Oreochromis niloticus: one gene and its partner. The protein of the gene in region 2 interacts with the protein of the main gene of each other region in a pairwise test. Links are inferred from orthologs where the notes say so. Each region holds a gene or a part of one and is shown on either strand. Other genes may lie near its edges.

Region 1 (7,685 bases), on a different chromosome or scaffold from region 2:
AAAGTAAAAAAAAACTTTGTCAAAATCCAAAGCTGTGTGAGATTTATTTATTTAATAGTTTCAACTATGCAGCAGGGTTTGTAATGTCTGCTTCTACACATCTTTATCCAGACAACATTTGGTAGTGCGTCATAATGGATGAAAGCTGGAACTTGTAATACTGGGTCACCAGGTAAAAACACTGCCTTCATCAGTTCCATGGATCTAACACACAAACACATGCTGATGGTTAGTGCCAAGCTAAAGAAACTAAAACGAGCTTCTTGGACACACAGCAAGTCAGTTTTCTTATCAAAGGCATCCGTGGGACAAACATGGTGAGCAGAAGAAAAGATGAAGCCCAGGAGCTGCAGCTGTCGAAGCACTACTGTAGCCTTGAATCACGCACGGCAGAGTTATCATACGTTGTTCGCATCACTGTATAAACGAGCCTTTAATGCTTTAAAGGTAGCTGGTCTATGATTACTGACTCGCTTAAAAATAAAAAAAATCGTTCCGAGTAACCAATCTAGGAAATGGATTTTGACACTTCCGCGTTCGCTTTATCTCTGAGCTCTGCAGAGTCCTCGTCTGGTTTTCAGATCGCTACTACAATTCCCATAATGCCGCGCTGGCTTTACGTTCGACCCTTTCAGCGTTTACTAATGTGTGTCTGTAGAGCACCGTGTGTGGTAACCGGTAATCATGGAGGTGACAGCAGCCCGCCGCTCGTTTCTGTGCGACATCGGTAAGCATGAAGCATCGTCAGCAGTTAATAATTTACACCCCAGCTCACATCTACGGGAACGGCTGACGGCTGAAACCGTATGTTCACTGCCAAAAGCGGGTTTTAACCGGGAAATGTAGGCGGAGAGTAACAACTGAGAGTCCCGTCAGTGCTGTGTCGAGAAAGTTCAGCCGTTACACAGACCAAGTCATTTGGTAGCTAACTGGCTTATAGCTGGGTAACATGCTCGGTTTTTCTCTGTAAATGAAGAAAAATGCGACATTCGAGGAGTACACTATAACTAATGGACGTATGCACTAAACATGATGAATGAGGGGGAAAGACTTTTATAGTTATTTCTGTAATCAGTCTAAATATTGCCCTTGTTCATATATTTGTAATAGACACTTTGCCATGACATTGACGGATATTGACAGAATAGACGTATTCCACCCAGTACTGCTGCCATGTTTACTGGGTTTACACATGCACTGGTTAATGGAAGCTGTTTCAGCTGTCTCTTTGCTGTTGTGCTAATGTGTGTGTGTGTGTGTGTGTGTGAGGCTTCTGGGCAGACCGCACGGCTCTGCACGAAGCAGCATCCCACGGCAGGGCTTTGCAGTTGAAGCAGCTGATAGAAAACGGAGCGTCTGTCAACATGGTGACTGTGGATAACATCACGCCTCTACATGAAGCCTGCATCCAGGCTCATCCAAACTGTGCTCGCCTGCTGCTGGAGGCAGGAGCCCAGGTGAGGCACAGCTTCACTCTACAAGCCTGACTCGTGTAGAGTCTTGGGGTCGCACACCTTAACACAGCAGGTACAAAATGATGCTATCTGGTGCAGAATCCCACTGCTGGTACGTGAGATCTGTGAAGCATCAGCAAGAGTCTCTCCCTCTGTGACAGTCTCACAAACGATAACTACTGTTTCTGTTGTTCAGGTCTTAACATGGCCCTACAATTTGGTAGATTACCTAAAGAATAGACAGATAATGTTCATCTGTTTGCTCCAGGTGGATGTACGCACCATCCATGGTAGCACGCCTCTTTGTAATGCTTGTGCGGCTGGCAGCCTGGAATGTGCCAAGCTGTTGTTGGACTATGGAGCCAAAGTGAACCCGTCCCTCACGGCTCTCACTGCCTCACCGCTCCATGAGGCCTGCATACAAGGTAAACCTTCAGCAGGAACAACACCCTGTCATGCTATCACGTCTCCCTATGAACGACACTTCACATTCCTCTCAGGTAATCCCCAAGTTGTGAGACTGCTGATAGCCAGTGGTGCCAAGCTGGAGGCATTTGACGTCCACTTTGGTCCTCCCCTTCACATAGCATGTGCTAAAGGACATCTGAATTGTGTCAAGGAGCTGCTAACTGCAGGTGTGTTAAAGGTGCAATGTATGGTTGTTTTATTTTGAAAGTTCAGTTGGTGATAGCCAGTTTCCTACAGAGAGTGCTGCAGCTAATCAAAGCTGTCAGAGGGCGAGAGGCGGGGTTCATTCTGGATAAGTGTCCAGTTTGTCACAGGGCTGAGACAGACAGCTGTTCACTCATACTAACAGCTATACCATTTAACCTGTGCATGTCTTTGGACTAAGACCTTTAAATCATTGTGAATTATGCAGGTGCTAATGTGAATGCAGTGAAGTTCCATGAAATAGCGTTGCATCACGCAGCTCGGGTCAGTATGGTGGAAATGATTGAGCTGCTGGTGGAGTTTGGAGCCAATGTGTACGCCAGCGACAACCTGGGAAGAAAGCCTATAGACTACACAACACCTGCATCTCCCTCGTACACCTGCCTCAGGTTTTATGAAAGTAAAGTTCTGCGTTCTGTCTGAGTTACAGCAAAAAAGTTCAAGTTCTTATGTTCTTGCTCTTTTTTTGCTTTTGAGGCCTGATCGTCTTATTAAAACATTTGTTGTTGACAGGTAATCCTTTGAGCCTGCAGCAGCTTTGCAGGATTGCTGTGAGGAGGATGCTGGGTACCAGAGCATCAGAGGTCCTGAGTCAGCTGAATATATCCCACCGCATCAACAGCTACCTCCAGTACTGTGATCATCCCATATCCCTATAGACCTACACATGAACATTATAAAAGGTTTAAAATGTCCCCACAAAATGTTTGCCATTCAGATGAAACACATGTAACCAGGATGAAAATATCTGTACGCAGTCAGTTCAACATTGTATGTCAAATTAAACCAATTCATTGCTGAATGAGAAAAAGCATTTCCTTATATAAATCTCTGTTTCAGCACTCTGACAATTTCCAACACATTTATAACACATAAGGCTGGGTGTCAAGTCCTTTTATCGCCTCAGCTGTGATGGACAGGGGGACTGTCATCTCTCTCTACTCCACATTACGCGACACCGGCCAGACTACCAAAATTACTCCAAGAGCACATCAGTGACTCAGGTCAAGTTATTTTACCCTGCTGGGATATAAGCTGGCCAAAGGAGGAGACAGAAGTCAGTGACATCAAGACCAGGAAGCTCCTGACCATGCACGGATGGTTTCACCCCAAGTCCAGCACCCTGAGGCTGTACGCTAAGCAGAAGGACGGAGGCCGGGGACTGGTGAGCGTCAGCACCACAGTCCAGGATGAGACAACAAACATCCACAAATACATCAGGAAGATGGCCCCAACCAAATGCATGCTAGGTGAATACCTCAGGCAGCAGAAACCCGAGGAAGAGGAGGAACCATCATGGAAGGACAGGAACTGCATCCCCAGACAGAGGAAGTGGCTGACATAAAGAAATCCTACCAGTGGCTGGACTGAAAGACAGCACAGAGGCACTAATCATGGCAGCACAGGAACAAGCTCTGAGCACACGCTCCATAGAGGCTGGGGTCTATCACACCAGGCAAGACCCCAGGCTGTGTAAAGATGCCCCTGAGACAATCGATGAATGGCTGTCCTGTTTGGGTACTGCTCACCAGGAGATGCTACATGAAAAGAGATGAAACAGTTGTTTGGTACAGGACAAACAGATTAGTTAGGTGACGGTGATGGATTTAGAGTAAAGAACAGTGTGTGACTCGTAATCAGAATTAGATTACATCAAGTGTAGCTGATGACACTTAGATTAATTCACTGAATTCCACCTTCATGCCAACTTTATACCATCTAGTATGAAGACAGCATAAACAGTGTACTGTCAGTGTAGGGACTGGAAATCAGCCAAGCAAGCTTGTCAGATATTGGGTTACATACTGTTCAATTCAGTTATGTAAATGGTCAAAGAGCAGTAAACCTCAGAGCAGCAGCAGTTACACAGGTCAGCTGATCAAAGCCTGTTCAGAGACAATCTACAGGAGCTCTCAACAGAAATATTGTGAGTGGTAAATCTTCCTGTACTTTTACCACCTCTACCTGCAGGGCAGCTTACTCTGTGGTTCCAACACCAGCTGTTGTGTGAAACAGCTGTTAAATACACCAGATTATAGTTTCATCTTTGATCGTGACCAGGCGTATTGTTCAGGACAGGTTCCTTATACCGAGGCTGAGTTGCTCACCTGGTGAGGATTTGTTTGGATCTCTGTGTTTGCCATGGATTCAATAACAGTTATTTCTATATAATCTAAGGATTTTACATGGGCCTGAAAATCGCACCAGTTTTCAACTCTTTCTTATTGATAATCAAATAGATCTAAATTTAAATTCTGTTATTAATCAATTATCTAATATCCCATTAAATCCTGAGCCACGGGGGTCATGAATGTTTAGAAAGTCAAGTATTTGTCAATGTATTTTTGATATTGTATGTTATCCATATTATTTATTTATGAATTGCGTTTAATATGTGACATCACGGCGTCATATGTTGCTAAGGGCTTTTTACTGCACAGATTTTCATAGATTATTATTTAATCTGAGGTAGAATAAGTATTTGTTGTACTCTCCACGCGTGAAACAGTTTTATTTGGGGTAAAAACTACAAAGTCCAACATGCCCGCGGAGGTCGGGTTTTGTCACGTGACTCCTGCCGCATGTAGAGAGCGAGGACGCGACTGTTTACAAACAGCTCGTTTGTCCCCGCGTTTCATGTCAGCCGAGCTTGTTCTGCGGGGGAAGTATTCGGAGGATGGACACTGAAAAGTCTCGGCCCTATTTCTTTGGCGACATCGGTGAGTATGAGCGCAGACAACATGGCCGGCGAGACTGTCGTTTAATCGAGCCGTGGCCGAGTTTGACGTCAGCTTGGCTGTAGCTAGCAGGTAATAACAGCTGGCATAGAGAGAATTTATTCACCTGGAAAACGTGACGAAAAAGAAGTGGCAGGCGGTAACTTACACAACAATGGTCGCCATACAAAACCCAAACACGCACTGAGCTGTGAACCATAAACTATTACAATCAATCACAACCACTGATCAAAGATCATTGATCGGTGGTTGTTGATCAATGGTCTTGACAATTAGCATATTGTTGGTCAGTGGTGCTAGTTTGAGTCATCGTGTAAATGTCCTGTTTATAAGGTTGGGGAAACCTGCAGTCAGCTGGGACTGAAGAAGTCACTGGATGATGATGAAACGTTTCTCGCTACGTCCAGATGAACAGAATCAACATTTTTTCCTTACCTGGATGATTGAGACATACACTTGACTTTGTCTCTGTAGAGGATGTGATATTAAGGATGCAAAATGAACTATACAAAGATCCAAGAAGCTTTACGACAGCGCGGTCTGAGATGAAGGGAGAGAGATTCTTTTACTTTGGCATGTTTTCATTTATGTCCATTTTTAGATTTGACTAGGCAGCTTGCACTGATGGAAAGCCACTGGCACACAGTATGAGTGTATATGAAATGGATTGTGGGAGGAAGTTCATGCAACCCCACAAAGAGCAAATAAAGCTGGAACAAAGGGTCCCAAGAAACTTGAACCTGGTTCTCTTGGAGTGTGGTGACCGTGCTAAGCACTGTACCACACTATCACCACACAGGTCCCCTTTAATGGGTGGTTGGACTTGGCCCCAGGTGTGGATGCAAGCTAAGTAAAAACAGAAGAAAAGGTGAATGCGTCTCTTAGAATTACACACACTGACCATCACACATTGGTCACCGAGTGGTAGAAAAGCTAGAAAAGTACTAATTCTGTATATATTTATTTGTATATCTGTGCAAATGTCAATGTCCACTTTATTTATGCAAGTGGTGAAGAGATGACTGACCTGCACCAACATAAAGGGAACTGCAGTAATCTGGGCACGTTGATATGAAACATGGCTCAATCTTTCAAAATCCTTAGGAAATAAAGTTTTACCTTAGCAAGAAGTCGTAACTGAATAAAGCTTATGAAGCTTATTTGCTTTGTGAATTTAAAGGAGCTGTCAAAAAATACGCCAAGATGCCTGACAGAGGAGCGATTGAACGACAGAAAACGCTCAAGAATGGTTTTGGAAAGATCTGATCTCCTAAATACTGTAACCTCCATTTTGTTATTGTTGAGGAGGAGGAAGTTTGAGTCCATCCAGACTTTTATATCAGCCAAACAGTCCAATAACAGTTTCACAGAGTTGTCTTCATGCATGCTCAGTCATCCAGGTAAGTAAATCCCAAAAAGTTGATTCTGTTCAACTTTTTGGGATCCAAAAAGTTTCTCTCACTGAAAACACTACGTCCAAGACTTGTTAGTTTTTTTATGAAATGGCAGATAGAGTTGAATGTCATCAGCAAAGCAGTGGAAAGAGATATTATATTTAAAATAAAAATAGACCCTAGAGCCAACATACATAAGGAAAATAAGAAGATAGGGTTCCCCTAGGATGGATCCTTGAGGAACTCCACAAGTAAGAGGTGCTGCAGCTGAGGAATAAGCATCTGTCTGGACTGAGAAGCTCCTATTCATAAAGTGAACCACTGTACAGCAGTTCCCTTAATGCCCACAATGCTCGAGCCTCATAACAGGATACTGTGATCTACAGTGTCGGCTGGGATCTACGAGCATCAGAAAAGCAGGGGTTCCCATAGATGCGCAGTGAGATCATCTTTCTCTCAGCCGAAGAAGGCCGAGAGAAAGATGATTGGACTAGAATAGTGATGTCACAAACAGCTTGAGAGCGTGGGAAAGTGGAAGTGATGTGAAGTTTAGATTTAGCCGGAGACACCTGGGAGCAGACAGATGTGAGCTTCCTTATTAAACCTGCGCGTACGCTTCATTTAAAGCTGATAAACACACAGGATCACACTGGTTTAAAGCAGCAGGGCACGATGGATAAGTAAGACACGCCCAGTAGGGATCAGTACTACAAATACTTCTGAAAACCTCAAATCTGATATTTTTGCCGTGAAAAACTATTAAAATTTTTCACAAAGTTTACTGGAAGCTGTAGAGGCGAATGAGTTAGAAGGATTTGAAATGACTGTTAGAAGAGATTTAGCAACTTTTACAGCATTTTGATATTCATGTAAACAGTCCTTCAAGATTCCTAAGGACACACGCGGTTTGTCTTTTTTCCATCGTCTCTCGGCTTGTCTGCATTCAGCCCGACGCTGCGAGTGTATAGGTGTTCCACAGGTAACATGCAGACTGAGAAACGCCAGCAGAACAACTACTATAAATGAAATGGTGGAAATGTGATGAGGTTTCAGTTCATGATTGAACCTGCTCCTCTGCAGGCTGCTGGGCGGAGCGAACAGAGGTGCACAAGGCAGCGTCGCTCGGTCAGGCCTCCCAACTGGAGGAGCTCATTCAGGGCGGAGCCTCGGTCAACATGGTGGCCGTGGATTCCATCACACCGCTGCACGAGGCGTGCCTCCACGGACAGGCCAAGTGCGTGCAGCTGCTGCTTGAGGCTGGAGCTCAGGTGAATCACAGACACAGTCTGTCAAACTGGAGATCACATTTCTTGCAAACAAGCTTGCTTGATGAGCAACACTCTGTTCCCCATCATGCTGTCAGGTGGATGCAAGGAATGTGGATGGAAGTACCCCGCTGTGCGATGCCTGTTCAGCTGGTAGTTTGG
Region 2 (7,497 bases):
TTATTTTATTTTATTGTATTTTATTGCATTCCAGTGTTTTCTAATTTCTGCTACATAACTTTGCACTTTTGCTGTAACAAAACAAATTTCCCACCTGTGGGACTAATAAAGGCCATCTTATCTTATCTTATCTTATTATACAGAGGTTTCACTGTAAGATCTGAGACTATAGCTGTTCAGGTGTTGGATTATATGAGCAGCTGCAGTTGGAGCCCATTAATATAAAGCTAACAGTATCTAATTTAGGTTAGCTAATGTGTTCTGTAGTTTGTTTTTCTTTTTTAATATAGTGTGCTTTAATATGCCTTAACTCTGATTAGTTTTCATCATTTTCAAATCATAATTAATATCCATGATTTGGAGTTCATCACTTGTTAGGTTTTGATTTTCAATATCTGTCACTTTTAATTTAAGCACACATATGCTACCAGTGACACAACGTAGAAGATAAACATCAAAGTCATGTTTCCTTTCATGAAAATTCAAACAAAAAAAAAAAGATATATATTTCAAAATGGAAAAAGGGGGGAAAGGAACATAGTAAGAATTCCTCCTTAAAATACGCATGGATCAGATCATATGGTCTAGGAATAAGAGGTCCCTTATGAACGATTTTTAAAAAAATTAATTAATTAATTTAAAAAGAAATGCTGCAGTACTGCAAGAGGTGAGCGCCCTCTTCTGGACAGGGCAGAAACTGTAACACCGCCCCTATGTGTGAATGGTTCATCAGAGACTTCCAAAGAGAATTGGTTGCCGTAGCAACAGCAGATCGTAATAGTGCAGCCTCTTGAGTGTGACCCTACACAGATATGTTTAATTGTGTAAGACCTGCTTTCCTCATCCTGAAGAGAGAGAGAGAGGCAGCATAGAAACTATATATTTCATTCTGTGCAAACAACTGTGACCCTGATGAATTTCAAATGTCTTTGCAACATGTGTTGTTTATTTTCTGTTGGGTTCATAAATCTTATGGATTCCTTGGAAGTTGGCAGGTGCTTGGAGAAAGTGAAATCAACATAGCTGAAACCCGAAACTTGATTCACTGAGAAAAATCATCAATTGAAACCATCAAAACTTCACCTGTCGCTTGGTGTCATACATTTTCTGGGTTGTTAAAGTTGATAAAGAAATAAAGAGATTAGTCAGTCTTGCAGACAAGTCTGATATAATATAGATTTTTGTAGAGAAAAAAAATCTACAACAAACAAAAAATTCTGTGGCCCCACACGTCTGTGTGTTTTCCTTGCACACTGAAAATCATCTGCTAGTAGTCAACAATAATGCTGTGGTGATGCTGAATGTGCATAATTACAGTATCATGAAGCCTTTTCTCAACAACTGAGAATGTGTTGACCCAACTCCTGCTCCTAGAAAACACTTTTTTTAATTGTTATTTTATTTTAATTACATTTATATGTTAATGTCGCATAATTTACATTAGCCCGGGGAAACACATCTAATTACATTTTTCTTTCCTGCATCTAGTAATGTATTTTAATAGCTACACACAGGAGGTGGTGGACACAATATTATGAACACCTACTGTGCCGTACAATTAGTTTCACTTTAAGGGGACTCAAGCTTTTCACTTTTTTCCCCAATAATTAATCGGGGATGTGTTTAAATAAAAATATGATACAAGTAGGACCAAATATAGGTGGCATGGTGGTCTGATGGCTAGCACTGTCACCCACACAGCAATTAGGTTCTGGTTTGAATCCAGGTTTGGGCCTTTGTCTGTGAAGTTTGCATCTTCTTCCGGTGTTTGCATGAGCTCCCATAGTCCAAAGACATATTTCGGGTTAGGAGATTCTAAATTGGCTATAGATGTAAAGGGTTAGGGTTGTGAAGATGAACTGTCTGTCTCTGTGTGTTAGTCCTGCAACAGACTGGCAATTTGTGCAGGGTCTCTCAGCCTATGAGGGTTTAATAAATGCTCCAGCCCTGTGGCAACCCTTAATTTGATAAGTGGAAGAAATGGACGAATGGGTCCAAAATACAAGCAACCTGTCACTTAGTTATAGTCTCCTCCTCACAGCCTAATGTATTTCCATGTTTAAACCTTTTAAAAGGCGTCCTTGCTCAGTGTTACATATTTTCAAATAATTACCGTAGATGTATAAAAATGTAAGCGATAAGCCTGAGTTATTCTTATTTTATAGAGATTCAATACCATAATTTCATATTAGTTTTTGATTAGCTTTGTTTGTGTTTGTTTCTCTCCTTGATTATGTCATCGAAGCAAGACTTGCCCTTTAATGAAGAGCAATCTGAGATGTGCTGAGAAGAAGGTAAGAGCCACTTCAAATGTCAACATCTGTGGGTAGAAAACTGAGAAGTAAGTGAATCGAATAAGGAGAAATTGCGTTGCTTTGATTACTGGTAGGAAATTGAGTTATTGCAGCTATGACAAAAGCAATGAAATGAGAACTTGAACAATCAATAGAAAAGACTTGAATAAGAGCTTTTTGTAAGAAATCAGCATGCTGAGGATTTGTGTGAGTTTGGTGGAAATCATGATGTGCCAGTCAGCTTAAAATAACTTCAATATTTGCCCCTTTTTTTCTTTTCTGGTTTGGTTTATTGTTTGTATTTGCAGACCTGACTAATTTAATAATAATAATAATAATAATAATGTATACTTTATTGATCCCCGTGGGGAAATTACTCTCTCTGCATTTAACCCATTCACTCAGTGAAGCAGTGGGCAGCCACTAATGGGGCGCCCGGGAAGCAGTGTGTAGGGACGGTAACTTGCTCAGGGGTACCTCAGGGTAGCTGTCCAGTGGGGGGGCGGCCATGCTACCTACTGAGCTATCCCTGCCCCAATTTTTCACACAGAAAACATTTCAACTGACACTAAAGAGTTTTCATTCATGTCCGCTTAACTGCTCTTTATTATTCCATGAACTTTGAACTGTTTGAACTGTTTTTTGTGGGGGGTTTTGTGGTGGTGGTTTCTTGTTTTTTCTTTACACACATCATTAAAATACTGTAAATGAACTTGTTTGCTTGTATGACAGCTGAGATTCATGTCCGTGTTTTTTGGGTTTGTGTGTGAAATTGAGACATTCAACAATAAAGCATTTTTGTTTTATTGTTTGCTGTGGCCCACTCCTTCACACTGCAGTTACATCAGATTCATCCTCCGTTGTTAAGGACAGGGTTTTGTTGTGTGGTTGGTGAGTTTATGTAACAAATTCAATTTAAAATTCAATTTTGAGTTCCCACAATTAAGTCGCTGCAATAATGAGATTAAACTGATTATTTAGGGACCTGAACAGGTTTGTAAGACTGTGACTCACTGTTTATTCATTTATAATAATGCAAATGCAGAGCAAAGTGCTTTTTTTAGCAACATCGACAAGCCCAGACCATCCAATGCTGTTTAAAGCTCTGCTTTCCTAAATTCTTTTAGAATTTAGTTTACATGAAAGGTTCCAGTTTTGGTTCAATCAAATCTCATGTAAACAGTTAAAACAGATGTTAAACGAGACTGAAAAAGCTACATTTCTTTTCCAAATATTAGAAGACATCAATGAAATAGACTTCTGCATTGTTGGTAGACTTTGGCAAGCAAAAAAGAGAGATATTTATATGTCTTATCCAAGTTATAACAATGCAGAAAACCCTGATAAGATTCAGACTTTGGTCAACCTTTCCTGGAAAGCAAAGATAAAGATTCAGAAATGTCTTTGTGATCTAACTGAGGGCACAAGGGTGTTCTTTCTGATCGATACGCTATTTGCTTCTATGTTGATTTAGCATGCACTGTTAGAGCCACAGCCTGCTCTGCAGATATGGGGCATTAGATAGTACTAGATGAAGAATAAAAGAAGATTAGTGGAGCACTTTCAAATGTATTTTTTTAACCTGTATAAAAAAGTCTAGAGAGACCCAAAGCCATTACAGTGTGTAATTATAGTTTATAATTATTATTGGAAAATGTGTTTTCACAAGCATCTGAGCAATTAAATACTAAAACTCCCATGTAGAGATAACAAGGTTGAAAATCAACATGATAGTAGACTATCCACCTTAATTAAAAGATATTTTTATTATAGGTCAATCCAGTTTTACTCTTTATAATTGATTAACCATTTCTATTATTTAGGTATTTTTGCAGCTATTTTCCATTTGAAGTACATTAGGATTTGACAAAAATACATTTGATGCCTTACTTGAATTTTGTGTTTGCCTAAAAACCGCTTTTCTCACATTATATGCTTACATTGTCGGATCTATTTTGAGGGCCATTCCTGCGCTGTCCATTACCTGCGGTGCTGAAACTGATGAATTAACCTGGTGTGTCTTTTTCTAATGTGAGCAGCAAACTAATTTGATTACGCTAAATACGATGTTTCCCCAAATAAAAAGTCATATAAATTAATATCGGCATCAGATAAGCAGACCGGGCCATCTAGTTGGAGCCTAACGTGCCAGTTCCCTTTACCGGCTCACTCCAGTCAGAGCGTGGTGCTGCGTTTCCCCCCACGCTTCGTTGCCCTAATTCTTCAACCCCTGATAGGTAAATTTCTTACGCTCGCCAAGCTATTAATGGTTAAACTACGTCGTGGGCGTAGCGGCTCCTTGTAATGGCGACCGTGCCGTAGATGTTCCCAGGTTTGTGAAAATGAAGCGAAGAAGAAGTTATTTCTTTTAAGTAAAACGCCGAGGTTCCCCGCAGGAGGACTTTGCGTCTACAACCATCGTCTTTATAAGTGGCAAACATAGCTGTACTTTTGAACTTTTACGCTCCCGAAATGATGAAGCTCAAGTCAAACCAAACCCGGACGTACGACGGGGATGGCTACAAGAAGCGGGCCGCTTGCCTGTGCTTCAGGAGCGAGAGCGAGGAGGAGGTGAGTTCGGTGATGTGAACTGTCTGGCGGGCCAAGCTAATATTAGCATCCGTAGGTTTTATCCAGCCTTTTCTGTTGTATGTAGATCGACACGTTTATCAACACGGCTTTGGTTTTATCCCAGCTGGAAAAGGATTTCTTTTATTCTCGTGTCGACTCCCGACGTTATGATTATTCACTATTTTTCAGCTGGTACTTACCCGAGTGTTATGTAAGCCTCTTTAGCAGTGCAGATAGCAGCCTCGGTTATGATCAGACTTACTAGCTCCGCGCTAATGCTAACGTTAGCTTGCTAACTACCCGGGTTGCTGCCGTGGGCAGCCGGCTATCGGCCAGGAACCACAGCCCACAGTACAGGCTGTGGTGAGTGCTGACTCTATTACTACCAGCTGTCGGATGGACAGAGAATATTTAGTATTTAAAGCGACAGCTAAGATATGTATCTGCTCGCGTTACAGATAGTTTGGCGAGCTAAGTGTATTGTGTTAATGCAACTAGCCAAACATTGTACTGCTATGTAGCTAGTAGCTATCCTAGTTTAAGCCAGAAGATGACTCTGGCAGTGATAGCCGGCTTGCTTGTATCACTTGTGTATTTTGATTAGTTTGTTTGCGAAATTGACACTGTTGATATTTGGAGCACCAGCTTAATGGGAGCGTCGAGCCCCGTGTGCACATTTTACAACATCGCTTATTAATGTTGCTATTTGTGTATTTATCGCTCCTATCTAGCCGTATCAGAAAAAGCGAAAACGTGTTGTGGATTACTTGAGCTCAGTCACGATTTAGGACGCTCACGTACAGTCAAAAGGAGACACAAAGATGCCTTTGTACTTAAAACATTTTACTAGGGGAGGAGATGGGACCAAACCAATTCCCCATTTTGCTTAAAGTAAAGGCCAGACTGTGTAGACACGGGTTGTTGATTACAGGAAACGTATCAGCATTACCAGCACCAAAGTGGAAACTTTTACCTAAGACTGTAGTTTATCTGACTGACACCTAGGCGTTCCACAGTTCATCTCCACTAAGAACCCAACATCTAAACTAGTTCACTAGCTATGATTTATTGACAGTAATAAAAGTACTAGTTATTTTAAACCCAATGGGTTATCATTTCCATTTTTCTTGAAGTTGTATTTTTCGATGTCCCAGTTGATATTATGTGAACAGTAACTCAGAGTTGGACTGTCATACCTGACCAGTATTATATGGGGTGTTTTGCAGGTGCTACTGGTGAGCAGTAGTCGACATCCTGACAAGTGGATAGTTCCTGGAGGGGGAATGGAGCCCGAAGAGGAGCCCAATGTTGCAGCAGCTCGAGAAGTGTGTGAAGAGGTCAGTTGTGTCACTCAATATTGTTATATCTTATTTAAGCCTGTAGCATGATGGCCTTTTCTCTTTGGTTTTCCAAGTGACAGATGTTGTCTCTATGTACACTGCGTACTGGGAACCTTAACATGATCTTTTTCAGAAATGTCAGTAGCTGGAAATATAATTCTCAGAAAGTGTGGCAAATTTGTTTGACTATAGACTCATAAGATGTATTGTATTACAATTCTGTTAACTCGTGTCTGTATTTAACACTGAGCCTGATACCTTGTTCTCAAAATCCATTTTGTCAATGTAGTCATCCTGTTTGCATGGACTGTAAGAGAGAGAGAGCCTAGCAACATGTAAGCTGTATCATAGCATCATGTTACAAAGCAGTCTTTAGGTGTCAAAGGAGGTCACACAGAGATTGAACACTGGCTGCACAGTAGTTTGACTGCAGTACAGTCAAGTCACACAAACGCAGAAAATGACAACAATTGAGTTTTATTGTTTGTACGTTTTCTCGTAGCTATATATATTAGTATACAGTAGTGGTCACATTACAAGGGCAGCTTGGAGGACACAACATGTTGTTTTTGTTGTTCTGTATTGGGGTGGATGGGTAGTAATTAGTAAACGGTTCTGAAGCTAATTGGAAATCAATATTCTACTTATACTGCTTACGCCTGTTTGTTAAATCAGGTATTCTTCCACTCTGCATGCTGTTCATCCTTTGGATATTTTGATCAGAACGGACACAGGGCACATAAGACACTGAATCTCACCCGGCAGTTGGCTCCTAGTGGGCCGCTGACCTTATAAAGCCTATCCTCTCTGTGTGATCCATCACACTGATGGATGCTGATATCATCCCTTATCCTGGCTCCTGCTGATTGGTAGCTTTGGTGGTTGCAGGACACTGAGGCCTGCCAGCAAATTTCCACAGGGTCAAAAGCAATGTCACATCACTGCTCAGGCTCCTTATGTGCTAAAAGGCAACATTCAGAAACTTTGTGCTGCTTGACACATCACCAACTACATTGGCTTTCTAAGCCTCTTATTGGACGATGGTGTAACAGGACATATCCTAATCCTGGTGAGCCTGTTCTGATTACCATATGAGTGATTGCTTATGCTTATTGGTTTGGAGTCTCTCCAGGGATGAGAGTGAAGACAAGGCATGCAGTAGCAAGCCAAAATTTACAGAGGGTTTCTTTGTTAGACTGTTCACTATCTTTGCTTATCCTTGTATTATGGAGATGCACCCTGACCCTGCAACCTGAAGACGCATTGCATAACTGGTAACGAAGTCTCAGCTG

The links. The genes of interacting proteins can lie anywhere in the genome.
Region 1: the proteins of nudt3b (region 2) and ankyrin repeat and SOCS box protein 13 interact in a two-hybrid assay, tested with the Homo sapiens proteins (2 studies listed by BioGRID and IntAct). The link is inferred for Oreochromis niloticus from reciprocal best matches to the Homo sapiens genes NUDT3 and ASB13.

Annotation. Positions count from the first base shown.
Region 1 is NC_031981.2:37,811,334-37,819,018, reverse strand, and holds the start of ankyrin repeat and SOCS box protein 13, read left to right. Parts: upstream 1-4,674; 5' UTR 4,675-4,803; coding exon 4,804-4,846; intron 4,847-7,338; coding exon 7,339-7,526; intron 7,527-7,621; coding exon 7,622-7,685. Other genes in the region: asb13a.1 (ankyrin repeat and SOCS box protein 13a.1), read left to right, coding at 685-727, 1,270-1,457, 1,723-2,089, 2,335-2,526, 2,640-2,785. UniProt on the Homo sapiens protein: May be a substrate-recognition component of a SCF-like ECS (Elongin-Cullin-SOCS-box protein) E3 ubiquitin-protein ligase complex which mediates the ubiquitination and subsequent proteasomal degradation of target proteins.
Region 2 is NC_031970.2:9,790,998-9,798,494, forward strand, and holds the start of nudt3b (diphosphoinositol polyphosphate phosphohydrolase 1), read left to right. Parts: upstream 1-4,483; 5' UTR 4,484-4,766; coding exon 4,767-4,865; intron 4,866-6,091; coding exon 6,092-6,202; intron 6,203-7,497. UniProt on the Homo sapiens protein: Cleaves a beta-phosphate from the diphosphate groups in PP-InsP5 (diphosphoinositol pentakisphosphate) and [PP]2-InsP4 (bisdiphosphoinositol tetrakisphosphate), suggesting that it may play a role in signal transduction.